3 linked regions of the Oryctolagus cuniculus genome follow. Each later gene encodes a partner of the first gene's protein in a complex. Links are inferred from orthologs where the notes say so. Each region holds a gene or a part of one and is shown on either strand. Other genes may lie near its edges.

What was found.
Region 2: SNRPF (region 1) and GEMIN2 share a complex: the UniProt entries of both Homo sapiens proteins name them as parts of the SMN-Sm complex. The link is inferred for Oryctolagus cuniculus from reciprocal best matches to the Homo sapiens genes SNRPF and GEMIN2.
Region 3: SNRPF (region 1) and PLRG1 share a complex: the UniProt entries of both Homo sapiens proteins name them as parts of the minor spliceosome. The link is inferred for Oryctolagus cuniculus from reciprocal best matches to the Homo sapiens genes SNRPF and PLRG1.

The regions. Positions count from the first base shown.
Region 1 is NC_091442.1:98,723,661-98,727,924, forward strand, and holds the start of SNRPF (small nuclear ribonucleoprotein F), read left to right. Parts: upstream 1-1,464; 5' UTR 1,465-1,601; coding exon 1,602-1,604; intron 1,605-3,584; coding exon 3,585-3,710; intron 3,711-4,264. UniProt on the Homo sapiens protein: Plays a role in pre-mRNA splicing as a core component of the spliceosomal U1, U2, U4 and U5 small nuclear ribonucleoproteins (snRNPs), the building blocks of the spliceosome.
Region 2 is NC_091443.1:36,529,034-36,533,130, forward strand, and holds the start of GEMIN2 (gem-associated protein 2), read right to left. Parts: upstream 2,801-4,097; 5' UTR 2,789-2,800; coding exon 2,616-2,788; intron 2,268-2,615; coding exon 2,183-2,267; intron 1-2,182. UniProt on the Homo sapiens protein: The SMN complex catalyzes the assembly of small nuclear ribonucleoproteins (snRNPs), the building blocks of the spliceosome, and thereby plays an important role in the splicing of cellular pre-mRNAs.
Region 3 is NC_091439.1:11,052,317-11,056,455, reverse strand, and holds the start of PLRG1 (pleiotropic regulator 1), read left to right. Parts: upstream 1-1,339; 5' UTR 1,340-1,441; coding exon 1,442-1,450; intron 1,451-2,783; coding exon 2,784-2,890; intron 2,891-3,205; exon of another isoform or gene 3,206-3,277; intron 3,278-3,946; coding exon 3,947-4,089; intron 4,090-4,139. UniProt on the Homo sapiens protein: Involved in pre-mRNA splicing as component of the spliceosome. Component of the PRP19-CDC5L complex that forms an integral part of the spliceosome and is required for activating pre-mRNA splicing.

The DNA.
Region 1 (4,264 bases):
GCTGTCTTTACATATTTGATGTTCAAGTTGTCAAAATTGGGACATCCTTTTGAATGACCCCGTCACTCTGAGCATTTTTCCTACTTCTGCATAACAAGACACTCCAGGCTCATTTTGTGCAGGCTGGAATGTAGCCAATTTTCTAAAGTTGCTGAAAGGTGGCTTTATGAAGTAGAGAAAGCAGTTTTGGGGTTAAAATCCAGCTACGTGCCTCTGGGCAAGTTCTCTGCCAAGTCTGTTTTTCTCATCTCAGCTGTAACTTCAGATCACACTGTGTGATTTCTATAATAATTGGGAAAGAGCCGGACATAAAGTTAGGAACTAAAGATTATAGCAAAGTTAAAGATGCAGGGGTGTAACATCTGGCATAGCGCCTAAGACGCCCACATCCCAGATGGGAGTGTCTGGCTTGGAGTCCCCGCTGGGTTTCTGACCCAGCTTCCTGCTAATGCACCCTGGGAGGCAGCAGGTGATGGCTCAAGTAGTTTGGGTCCCTTCCACTCACTTGGGAGTTCCCAGCCCCCGGCTTCAGCCTGGCTTGTTGCGGGTGTTTGGGGAGTTGAGCCAGTAGGTCCAAGAGCGTGTACGCTCTCTGTCTCGCTCTCGCTCTCTCATAAAGAAAATTAAGAATTTTTTTTCTTAAAAGCTGAAGATCCACGACACGATGACTAACCAGAAAAAACCCAGTGCACTTTGGGGTAAATAATTCTAACAGCTATTCGGTCTACACCACACTGATGATCACCCTGACTTGCTGCTCATCATTTAAACCGACAACACGTAAGTCACAGCGAGCATCTCCTGAAAGCTCAAGTCCAAACGCATCTTCTGGGGGGTGTCCAGCAGCAGGCGGTCCTCCTCCAAGCGCCAGTTCTCCGAGATCTGCATTCAGCACCTCCCATCCGGGCTAGTCCAGCGTCGGTCGCGCGGAGAGGGGCTGGCGGCTGCGTCGCGGGCACCGATCAGCCCGTGCTGCCGCAGGTGCTCCCCAGGCCGGCGGGGCCGGGGGCCCGCGGGCAACGCCCCGGGGGAGGTCCTGGCTCCTAGTCTGCAAAGAATTCTGCCGCGGCCCCTCCGTTTCACCTCCCCGCCTCCAGGCCCGCTCCTCTCATTTCCTCTTAGAACGCTGAAACGGGTGCTACCGAATAGACAACCTTCAGGTCGAAGGGGGCTGTGGCAGAGGCGCCCCCAAATCGCGGTACCCGGGGACCTGAGAGCCCCGAACGCGTTCTCACCGTTGTAAACTAACAAAGCGACCCCCCATTAGCCAAGCTGCCGAGAAATCACGTGTGCGCCACAGGGTACGCGGCCTCTCACAGCCGGTTCTTCAAGGCAGGGGAGAAGACTAGTAACGCCGAACGCGTCTCTGGTTGCTGGGAGACACGGCTGCGCCATCTCCTCCAATCAGCACACGCCTCTTTTTGACCAATCATAGAAGGCGAAAGAGCGGTGGTGGGAGGTGAAAGGTCAAGCTGAGGTTTGGCGGCCATTTCTCTTGCAACTTCGGAGGTCTGGGCCTTGGGGGAAGCTGCTCCGAGCACGCGGGACGGGCTGTATCTGCGTCGGCGGCGTCTAATCCGCAACGTTAGCCCGAAGTCGTGATGGTAAGGAGAGGGAGGACTGCTGGAGTCGCGAGACGGAGAGGGCGGGAAGGCAACTTCGGGCTGGCTGAGCCTGGTGGCGGCTTCGCGCCTTTCCCATTCATCCGCGAGGCGCAGCGCACCGGGGCGCCAGTCTGCGGGTTCCGCGGACGCGCGCGAGTCCCTTCCTGGCTGGGACGACCCTCGCCTCCTGCTGCCTCTTCTTTCTGAGTCCAGGGAAGAAAGAGGTAGTCGGGGTGGATGTAGCAAACGCTGAAGCGGTTTGCGTTTCCCACTTCGTCGCACTCATGAAGCCGCTTTTATTCCGTCGGTGATGTTTCTCCAGCCCGCCTTGGCCCAGGCCCCGGAGCGTTCGTGTATTCGTTCTGACGCTTATTGAGCGCCGGCGACTTGGCCAGGTTGAGTCTTGGGCTCCAGGACTAGAGACTGAGAAGTGCCCATGCGGACCCTGCACCGGCCGAGCTGGGCGGGGTGTGAGAGACAGACGTCCGTCAGGCGCTGTTCACCGAAATGGGCACCGGCCTAGACGGGAGCGGGCGGGAGGCTGCGGCCCCGGGGCGCTGGGGCGCCTTCCGCGGCTGCCCCCGGAGGGGGGCTTTCACCCGAGCCCGGGTGACAGGAAATGGGGCTCCGGAACGATGAGGGAGGGACAGCTACACTCGTGGTGGGTGTTGGCCGAAAGCGGCCACCGCTTGCGAGAGCGCCAGGACCTGGGCAGCGTGTGGAGGGTCTACCCCGGCGCCCTCGGCAGCCGTCGGAGCTTTCTCATCAGGCCCGATGGGATGCGCTCTGGCACACGTCGTAGCGGCTGTGTGCTCGCTGCGCCCGAGAAGTGGGGAGCTGGGGGCCGTTAGGCGGTTATTGCGGGTGGAGCCCTCCTACTTTTCCCGCGATTTAGTAGCGGTGTCTGGGTTCTTCCTCGGGGTGAGGAGGTGAGCGCGGAGAGACTCGGTTCGCCGGCGATGCACCGGTCGGGTGAGGACCGAGCCCTGCCGAGCTTGGTCCTGCCCCGAGTGGGATGCTGACCGTACTGCTTGTTCTCGGGATGACGCGCGCAAGCGCACACATACACACGGTCATTCCAGATGGGAAGCCTCCCTGGCCTCCAGCGGTCCCCTTTCCCTCTGGAATAGACTTCACCCTTTAAAACGGAGGCATTGCTCCTACCAGGCAGCCCGTTCCTGTCTTTTTTCCTGAGTTGGTTGGGCCTTTCTGCATAGCATCGCTCTTACTGCTTTGCAATATAATTGTCTGTATGTCTGCAGCGCCACACCCCCACCCTGGCTTCTTAAGGACAGAGCCTCGTTACACGTTTGTTGTAGGGCTTTCATCTTTGTTTCCTTAGAGCTTGCGACACTGAGGACTGCAGGTGCCGCTTGTCTCCTAAGTGCAGCGTGAACACTTATTTTTTTGTGATGGGTTGAAGACGAAATGGGATAACTGGTTAAATTTCCCAGATGCTAGCCGGCGCCGTGGCTCACTAGGCTAATCCTCCACCTTGCGGCGCTGGCACACCGGGTTCTAGTCCCGGTTGGGGCGCCGGATTCTGTCCCGGTTGCCCCTCTTCCAGGCCAGCTCTCTGCTGTGGCCCGGGAGTGCAGTGGAGGATGGCCCAAGTGCTTGGGCCCTGCACCCCATGGGAGACCAGGAAAAGCACCTGGATCCTGGCTCCTGCCATCAGATCGGTGCGCCGGCTGCAGCGGCGGCCATTGGAGGGTGAACCAACGGCAAAGGAAGACCTTTCTCTCTCTGTCTCTCTCTCACTGTCCACTCTGCCTGTCAAAAAAAAAAAAAAAATTTCCCAGATGCTCTTCAACAAACAAAAGTGGAAATTAGGTAGTAGAGTGATAGGGAGTGAAGAGTTTGCTTCATTTGGATGTTACAAAATATTGATTGGTGGATTGGTAGAGGAGAGTGAGGAGTGGAAGCCAAGTTAAGGAAAAAAAAAAATCAATGGATTTTTTGTTTGTTTGTTTTGTGCAGAGTTTACCCCTCAATCCCAAACCTTTCCTCAATGGATTAACAGGGAAGCCCGTGATGGTGAAACTCAAGTGGGGAATGGAGTACAAGGGCTACCTGGTGTCTGTAGACGGCTATATGAACATGCAGGTAAGCTAGAGGTGAAAGGGTGGTGACACTGTGTTTCTTCTGTTCCACTTTATTCCTCCAAGGTTTCGTGTGACTAATAATTCATACAGTTGGCAAAGATAGAACAAAATTCAGGAATGAAGTCAAGGCCAGGGAGGATGTTACAACTGATAGACTAGGTACAAGACACGGGGTTAGGCCAGGATTCACAGACCTTACTCGTGGTGGGTAAAGTGAGGAGGACTCAGGCATTTGATTATTCATATAATAAGGGAAATACATGAGTTGCTTTCAAAAGCAAACCTTTTTCCAGCGCTTAAATCTGATATTTTTCAAGTGAAATTCTTGTCTCTTAATGAATGCTAAAGGCACAACATTAATGTAATCAACTAGAAGCATTTCTTCAGAGGGAAGACAGATTAGCTGAAAGAATTGATGAACTATGTTGGTTAAACTAGTTGTAAATGATTTTGCCAGTGAGGGGGGGGATTTGGTGTGAATTTTTTTATTGTGATAAAATATACATAAAAATTTGGCCACTTTAACCATTTTTAAAGATGTCACTCAGTAATAGT
Region 2 (4,097 bases), on another chromosome or scaffold:
ACAGGCGTTAGGTTCAATGTTAGTGTTATAACTAGAATCCATGCCTTTGTAAGGTACATGTAAAACTAAGATGAAGAATAACTAAGATCTAAGACAAAAAGTACATTTTGCAGTTACACAAAAGTAGGCCTTTCACTGCACTATTTATGTCTTGGTTTAAAATGTAAGAAAAAAGATCACTATATTTTATTTAATAAGAGAAATCTGGAATGGTTTATAGTTGGGAGTTTCTAGGAAATTAAATGACATGATCTCTGGAGATATAATCTAGGCCTACATTTCTATAATAATAAAACTGAAACAAAAATATTCAGAATAAAGAGTTTTGGTATGGACAAAATGAACTCAAATAATTTGAAGACATGACTTTAAAAGAAGTCTACTTTTGTTTACCAAAAGAGTATATAGTCCATAATTGATCACATAGGACTGTTCTGAAATAAAACTCATTAGGGTCACTTTTTTAAAGTAAGATACATACTACATGTTCCACAAACTAAAAAACTTATGAAAAGGAATTATATGAACCCATTAGTGTCTGATGAGGAGTGGGTAGGCCTCACAGCTAAGATGCCTGTGTCTTACACTGGTGTGCCAGGGATTCACTCCCTGCTCTGGCTCCAAACTCAAGCTTCCTGCTAATGCAGACCTTGGGAGACAGTGGGGATAGCTCAAATAATTGGATTCTGGCCTCCAAGGTGGGAGACCAGCATTGTACTCCCAACTTCATTTCAGCCCAATCCTGGGCACTTGGAGAGTGAACCAGTAGATGGAAGTACTCCCTCCCTCTCTAACAATAGTAATAACAAATTAATATTTAAAATGTTCATAATTTTAAATATCAGATAAAGAAATTGCTTAGAATGTAGAAAGAAAAGGATATACCAGTATAAAAATTTAAAATGCCATTCTTTATTTGGTCTTCGGTTAAATATAATTTAGATATATCTAAATTAGATAGACTTTCCATGACTATTCCAACTAAAGTAATTCTCCCTTCTCTCCTCCCCAAGGTTTATTTATTTACTTGAAAATCAGAGTGACAGAAAAAGAGGGATAAACAGAGACAGAGAAGATAGAGAGATCCTCCATCTGCTGGTTCACTCCCCAAATGGCCCCAACAGCCAGGGCTCGGCTGGCCAAAGCCCAGAGACAGGAGCTTCTTCCAAGGCTCCCACATGGGAGACAGGGGACCCAGCGCCTGGGCCATCCTTTACTGTTCTCCCAGGTGCACCATCAGTGGGGCAACTGGGACCCAAACTGGTGCCCATATAGGATGCCAGCACTGCAGACAGTAGCCTAACCCTTTGCTCCACAGCACTGGCTCCTGGTTTATTTCTCAAAAGATGGCAACAGCTGGGGCTGGGTCAAAGTTAGGAACTCCATGCAGGTCTCCCATGTGGGTGGCAGGAACTCAAATACTTGGGCCATGATCTGCTGCTTCCCAAGTGTATTATTGGGAAGCTGGATCAAAAGCAGAGTAACCAGCACTATTATATGGGTGTCCCAAGCCGTAGCTCAACCTGCTGCACCACAATGCCCACCTGGGCTCTCTCTTTTATTATCATAGATGTTTATTTTCTTCACTGCAATATTCACAATACATAATTTTAATTTTTGTTTGTTTACTCCAACTTCTTCAGAAGAATGTAAGCTCTATCAGGGTAGGCATCTTTTATCCCTTCCTGTATTGTATTCCCAGAGCCTGGCACAACCTAGTCACAACAAAAACAACTAACTTTACTTTTCCTACTTGCTGAATAAATAAATAAAAGTGTCCATAAGTAGAAATGCACATAACTAGAAAAGCCTAAGAGATCAGCTTTCTATTCTTAGAAAAACAAAAACCAGCCAAATTCAGAACATGCAAACTACACTAAATAAACACCAGAGAAGTAATTATGAAAACGTAACTGGAAAAAGGTTCCTTAAAAATAAAAGTGCAAGTAGCCTATTTAAAGGCTCCTTAGGTATTGGGTCACGTCCCTAAAGTAAGATGAGCAAGTCTTCATATAAACTCCAGGTCACGAAAAGGTTCTTGCGAGGCGGCAGAGGCAAAGCGTGCAAGCCAATGCTTAACTCCAGAGGAAGCAGTCAGCTATCACGTACACCACAGTCGACACTCTCGGATATTATAAGAATGTGTGTGTCAGGGAAATCCCCATAAGATTATAAAACTCACAGAAACATTCACACTCTGCTTCCTTTTCAACTTCTTTGGGTCAATCTGAGCTACCACAACATCTGGACATTGAGCTGCTTCGATCCTACAAATAAGCAATAAATGCAAGAAATTTAATTACTATCGCGCTTTGTTCGCGTGCAGTAAAACAAGCGATCCACTTCCACAGTTCATTAGGAAATTAAAAATCCAGAATTCCAACTGGGGTACTAAACACGGGATGTCTGACATTATCTGGATTGAAAGCAAAGAAATCCAAGAACACACATCTCGGTATCCGTTATCAAGTTAAAAGGAAACTCGCCACTTGGGATGTAACCCAGAGATGCGGAGCATAAACTGGGACAACAGGGACGGGACTTTTTGGCACCACGGGCCCTGCCCAGCGGCAGGGGGAACGATGAGCCCACCCGTACGGGGCCAAAGCACTCACTGGACCCGCCTCAGGTACTCCTGCGGCGTCCTTGGGGGTACCGAGGGATCGAAACCCTCCGTCAAGTCGCAAGGCTCCACCGGCAACAGCCGGGGCATCAACTCTTCCACCGCCGACTCGGAAGAAGGTACCCACGCCATAGCTTTCAATCCAGCCGGTCCCTCCCTGCGCATGCGCCTAGTCTAGGTCATGGCGCAGGCGCACAAGTAGGTGTATTTTGGCGCGCTGCAGAGCCTGCGGCAGTTTAGAAAGCGTAAGTGCGCATGAGCAGAGGCACTACTTGCCTGGAGGTTAAGGCTTCAGTGGGAAAGTGAGCCGCAGGTTTGGTTCCTGGAAGTTGTCCTAAAGCGGTTTTCGGGTTTTCACATCGTGTTTTCTCGTTTAAGGCTGGAGTAAAGACTGAGGGTTATTAACTTCTATTCATCCCTATTAGTGTACGATCCTTAAACGCTTTAGGATCAAATCACGTATTTGCATAATTATCATTTTTGGAGCTCTAAATTCTTAAACCCCAGGAAAATCGTTTTATAAATTTCCTCATTTAATTCTCACAACAACCCTGTGAAGAAGCTAGTATTATTTCGGTTTCGAGGGGGAAGAAATCGACATAAAAAGTAGTTAAGTTCTACAACTGTGATTTTCTTCCAAGCAATTACAATCCTGATACCAAATGAATGAAAAATCTCTTTGCTTAAATACAAATAATCAAAGGATAAAACTAGCACCAGCATTCAGAAATTACCATTATTAATATTAGGTCAATCCTGTGAGGTGGTTGCTATTATTATTTTTATTTTATAGGTGTGCAAACAAGACAGAAATGAATTAAGTAACTTGTTCTGAGTCACAAAGTGCAAGAAACAATGGAAGTATTATATCTGATCTTTTGTAAACAGACTCTGAGGGAATACAATTGACCTTTATTTTTTAACGTGTATACTTTTAAGACTTTTTTTTTTTTTTTTTTTTTGGCACTGCCTTTAGCTTTCCAACCAGGATGTAACTCATTTAATTGAAGATAAAGGGAGAACAGTTCTTAAAAGAGCTAAGAAATTAGTAGTACTTACCAATTGTAGCTACACAGTTGCTGTCAAACTGGAAAGTTATTTGATCAAAAATTTTTCACTGGGGTGGGCATTGTGGTGCAGCTGTTAAGACGCCGCTTGGGTCATCTACATTTCATATCTGAGTGCCTGGTTGGAGTCCTGGCTACTCTGCTTTGGTTTGATTTCCTGCTAATGTGTACCTTGGGAGGGAGAAGGTTATGGTTTAAGTATTTGGATCCCTGCCATCCACGTGGGAGACCCAGAAGGAGTTCCGGGCTTCTTGGATCTGTCTTCAAGCAGGCCTGCCTGTTGGGGGCATTTGGAGAGTGAACCCATGGATGGAAGATCTCTCTCTCTCTCTTTTTCTATTCTCTCCGTTTTTCTCTCTATTCCCCTCTCTATGTTGCTCTGCCTTTCAGATGAATTAAAGATTCTT
Region 3 (4,139 bases), on another chromosome or scaffold:
ATAATCCATGTATCTCTGAACTAGGTAAGAGGGTCACTCGAGCTTTGTAGACCATAAAGCTTCAAGCACAGTACATAATTCTGTATATTCAACAGTGCTTTAAAAAGAGTAAAAAGTAGTTCAATTTGCTTCAATCACTACAATATTTTATAAGAGTCTGGGTTTATAAATTAAATGTCTCCAGGATTATCGAACAAGCTTACAAGTCCAACTAGACAGTTCTTGTATTGTCGGATACATTGGAGTCTTGCTTACATTTCTAGTTTGTCATTTAAAAACATTCTTTTCCATAGTAATTACTATTCATAGGTGAGTTATATTTTTATTCCCTATGTATACGTACTCTACAGCATTTCCTTGCAAAGTGTCCTATCCTGGGCCACTTTAACAGAAAATAAAATCTGAAGTCAAACTCGCATTCAAATTCTGAGATGATGGTATTTTCAAGTAAAAACATAACCTTAATGTTTTAAATAAAATTAAAACTTCGTGAATTTCAGGAGACTGTTGAACCACTTTGCCCTGTTCTTGCTGGAGACTCCTCCCACGCGCCCCACTGCACCCCAGACCCGCAGTATGCGCTGGGGACAGGATCAGTGAAACTGATGAGGGTTAAGGGAGAACCGGGGCCACCGAGATGACTGTAGATCTGTTTGCAAACACTCAACTACATCAATTTTGTAGCTGCATCGTGGCATTACTGAACCCATATTCACCAACAACTAGGCAGTAGACAAGTGGTAGGTCGTTTATGAGAAACTAAAACACTATGTAGCCCAAAATAAATGTGGGGCTGTGCTGAATGCGGTAAAAGAGTTATTCTGCAGACATGTCCAAATTTCTCAACCTGAAACCACGGTTCTGCAGCATGCCTTCCCACCAGCGCCGCTGGATTCTGTAAGCGCAACTATTTCCAAGCGCTGAGAACGCACCAGGCTCTAAGCGCATCCAGCCAGGCGCTGCAATCAGCCGACCCAAACGCGGAAGGCGACCCCTAAGTCAGTGAGACCGTGTTAGGGCAGGACCTCAGAGCCCAGGCAGGGTCGCTCTCCAGAACGCCCCCCGTCCCCCGCGCTGATTTCTTAACATTTCCGACTAAAAGCCATCCAGCTTCCAAGGAATTCAGCACAACGGACCAGGGCCCCTAACGCACTGTAAAACTGATTCAATTTGGCAGAAAACAGTATTTTGACTCGTTCACAACGCTCTGCGACACGTCCCAGCCCTGTCCGTTCAGACTCGGCCCCAGGCGCGAGCAGGAAGGCCCGCCCCCCGCCCCTGATCCCGAAAGGCCGAGCGAGCGGCGCGCGCGCGCAGCGCTCTACGTCATATCCGGCGCCAGGCCGTCCGATTCCGGAAGTGGCTGCCCAGTTGTGGCGGCGCTCTCTGCGCGGGTGATAGGTGTCTGTTCTGCAGGAGAGCTGGGGTACACGGCATCATCATGGTCGAGGTAAAGTGATGGTCGGGCGCTCAGGAGGCGTTTGCCTCTGGAATGTTTTATTTGGCAGCGCGCTGGGGGGATGGAGCGTGCTGGGAGGCTGGAGAGGGAAGAGGCTGCCAGGGCAGCTGTGTGGCCAAGGCCAAGTGGTCTCTTCTTAGGGAGGTGCTTTGCGCAAAGGGTCTAGGGTGCATGGAAACCCGAGTCTGAAGCTCCGTCCGGCGGGGAGCCGTAGATGATTTCTGCAGTGCTTGTCTGACCCCCGGAATCCGGGCTCTGACCTCGGAGGCGGGGCTCCTGTTGATGTCCGACCCCTGGCCGGTTGTCGCTGCCGGCGTACATAGTGGCACTAATTCTGCCACCTAAAAGACTCTGGCGGTCAATTCACCTCGTGTTTCAGCCCACGCCAGGAAAGCCTGCCGTTCTTGATGCCTTACGTGTTTTTCCCACCTGGTTTGAACATTAGCAGGCCTTGCTCGTCTTACTGCGAACATTGCCTGACGCCATCCTCTCTGGTCCATATCCGCTGCAAGTCATCTTAATTCAGACGGACGTTATCTTTAGCCAGGAGCGACGCACTGGCTTCCAGCTGACTTTCTTCTTTTTTTGCCCTCCTATAAATTGTTCTATGCAAGACATAAGTTGGCCATGGTTTTCTGGCTTAAACCCCTCTCCTGTCCCTGTGACAATAGGACAAAACTCGAGACTGTTGGAATGGTCTAAAAAAGGCCTTTCCTAACTGGACTTTACCTGCCTTGGCAACCTCGGCTTACTCCGCATCCCACCCTGTCACCCAGCCTGCACCCCGGGCATTATTTCAGTCCTTGGTCACCTTTGCACTGGGCATGTGCCGCTGCCTGGGCTGCGCTTACCTGTGTTCCCTCCTGTCTGTTCGGACTTCGCTGCAGAGCGCTCTTTCGCCGTCATATCTGGTTCCTCCTGTGTTCTCTGCCTTGGCCTCTTGTCTTTATAGCGCTTACCCAAGTGTGGACTTGCTTTCCTAGTTTTGCTTGTCTTCTTCCTCCTGAGTACAAGGAGCGTGCTGCCTATCATTCTGTTGTCAGCTTTAGCACCGTGCTGACAGAGAGGTGGAGCGAGCCTAGTAGGTATTTCCTGAGTAAGGGGGTACTCTCACCTCACTCAGCTGCTCTAGCCGAGGCTCTGGCGATGAACTTGACCCCTTGTAGCTTGCTGCAGGAGTAGCTGTGGTGAGTGGTATGGAGCGTTCGACATTCTCACACACGTAAAGCGTCTGATGAGTTTGACTGTAATTCAGGTTACGCTGTGGGTAATTTATAGGTTAAGTGTGTAATTACACACACACACTCTCTCTCCCTTTCTCTAGGAAGTGCAGAAGCATTCTGTGCACACGCTTGTGTTCAGGTCCTTGAAGAGGACCCATGACATGTTTGTAGCTGACAATGGAAAACCTGTGCCTTTGGATGAAGAGAGGTAGGCATAGTTTTCTTTCATTTGCTAAAATTGTTAAAATTCTAATACTGGGAGAAGAGATCAGGGAAAGGGAGACCTTTAAACATTACTTAGTAATACTTGGTTTTACTCATGTAGTACTCAGGTAGTGCTCATGGACTGTCTCTTTAATGAAAGCTCTTTGGGCATAATTTTAACTGGTTTAACCTTTCTTTTTTTTTGGCCTTTATGGTAAAGAATCCCATTAATTAATTGCATTTTACAAATGTCCGGTAATTAGGAGAGTCCCGTTCAGGTATTTTATTTTATAATCAATCACTTTGTATGTGCTTTCAGCTTCCCGCTGCTCTCAGAGCCTTGCTGAGCTGAAATTGTACCTGGCCAGTACTTCTACTCCCATCTTTTCTCGTTAGTATGGTGAAGATTGTTGAGTGGGGGCATAGTTTTGGTTCTACATCTCCAGCTCCAGTCTGGGATTGCATTATGTGCAATGTTCCTTCTTTGTCCTTTGCCCTTCTTTTTAAAACTTAATTCCTGAAACAAATATTTCTATTTCATTTACAAGATGAGGTTTTCTTAAAAGTAATATAAGTGCATTTCTTTTTAAAAATACTGAACTAATTTAGTACTTTGATTAGTTCCAACTAACCTTTCTAGATACATCTGTTTAAGGTTACTGAGGTAATTTTTACTGTTTTTATATTTAGATATATGAAGGAAATAAGTGTAGGCCTTGAAAGAATTTTTAAGGGTATATTAGTTTCTATATATCTTTAAATCAGTTTGACCTTTGATAACTAATCATGAAATGTTTTATTTATTAAGTGACAAATTAAAATATTACTTGGATTTAATGCCTGCCATGTGATAAATTGTGAATTAAAGTAACTACATATGATGTGGAAATGCACTTGGAAATTTTAGGTTTTTTTGAAATATTGTTTAAAATCTTACTAGAAACTTATACGTCACTGGGCAAACTTAAATTATGTTTCCTAGCTATCTGTAAACACTTAAATTTGTGAGTGTATTTTACATATTTAAGGATACATTCTTATGTTTATAATTTTTAAATAGTCACAAACGAAAAATGGCAATCAAGCTTCGTAATGAGTATGGTCCTGTGTTGCATATGCCAACCTCGAAAGAAAATCTTAAAGAGAAAGGCCCCCAGAATGCAACGGATTCATATGGCCATAAACAGTATCCTGCCAATCAAGGTCAGTATGGTGTTATCAGCAATATTTGAGAAATATAAAAACAAATAAAA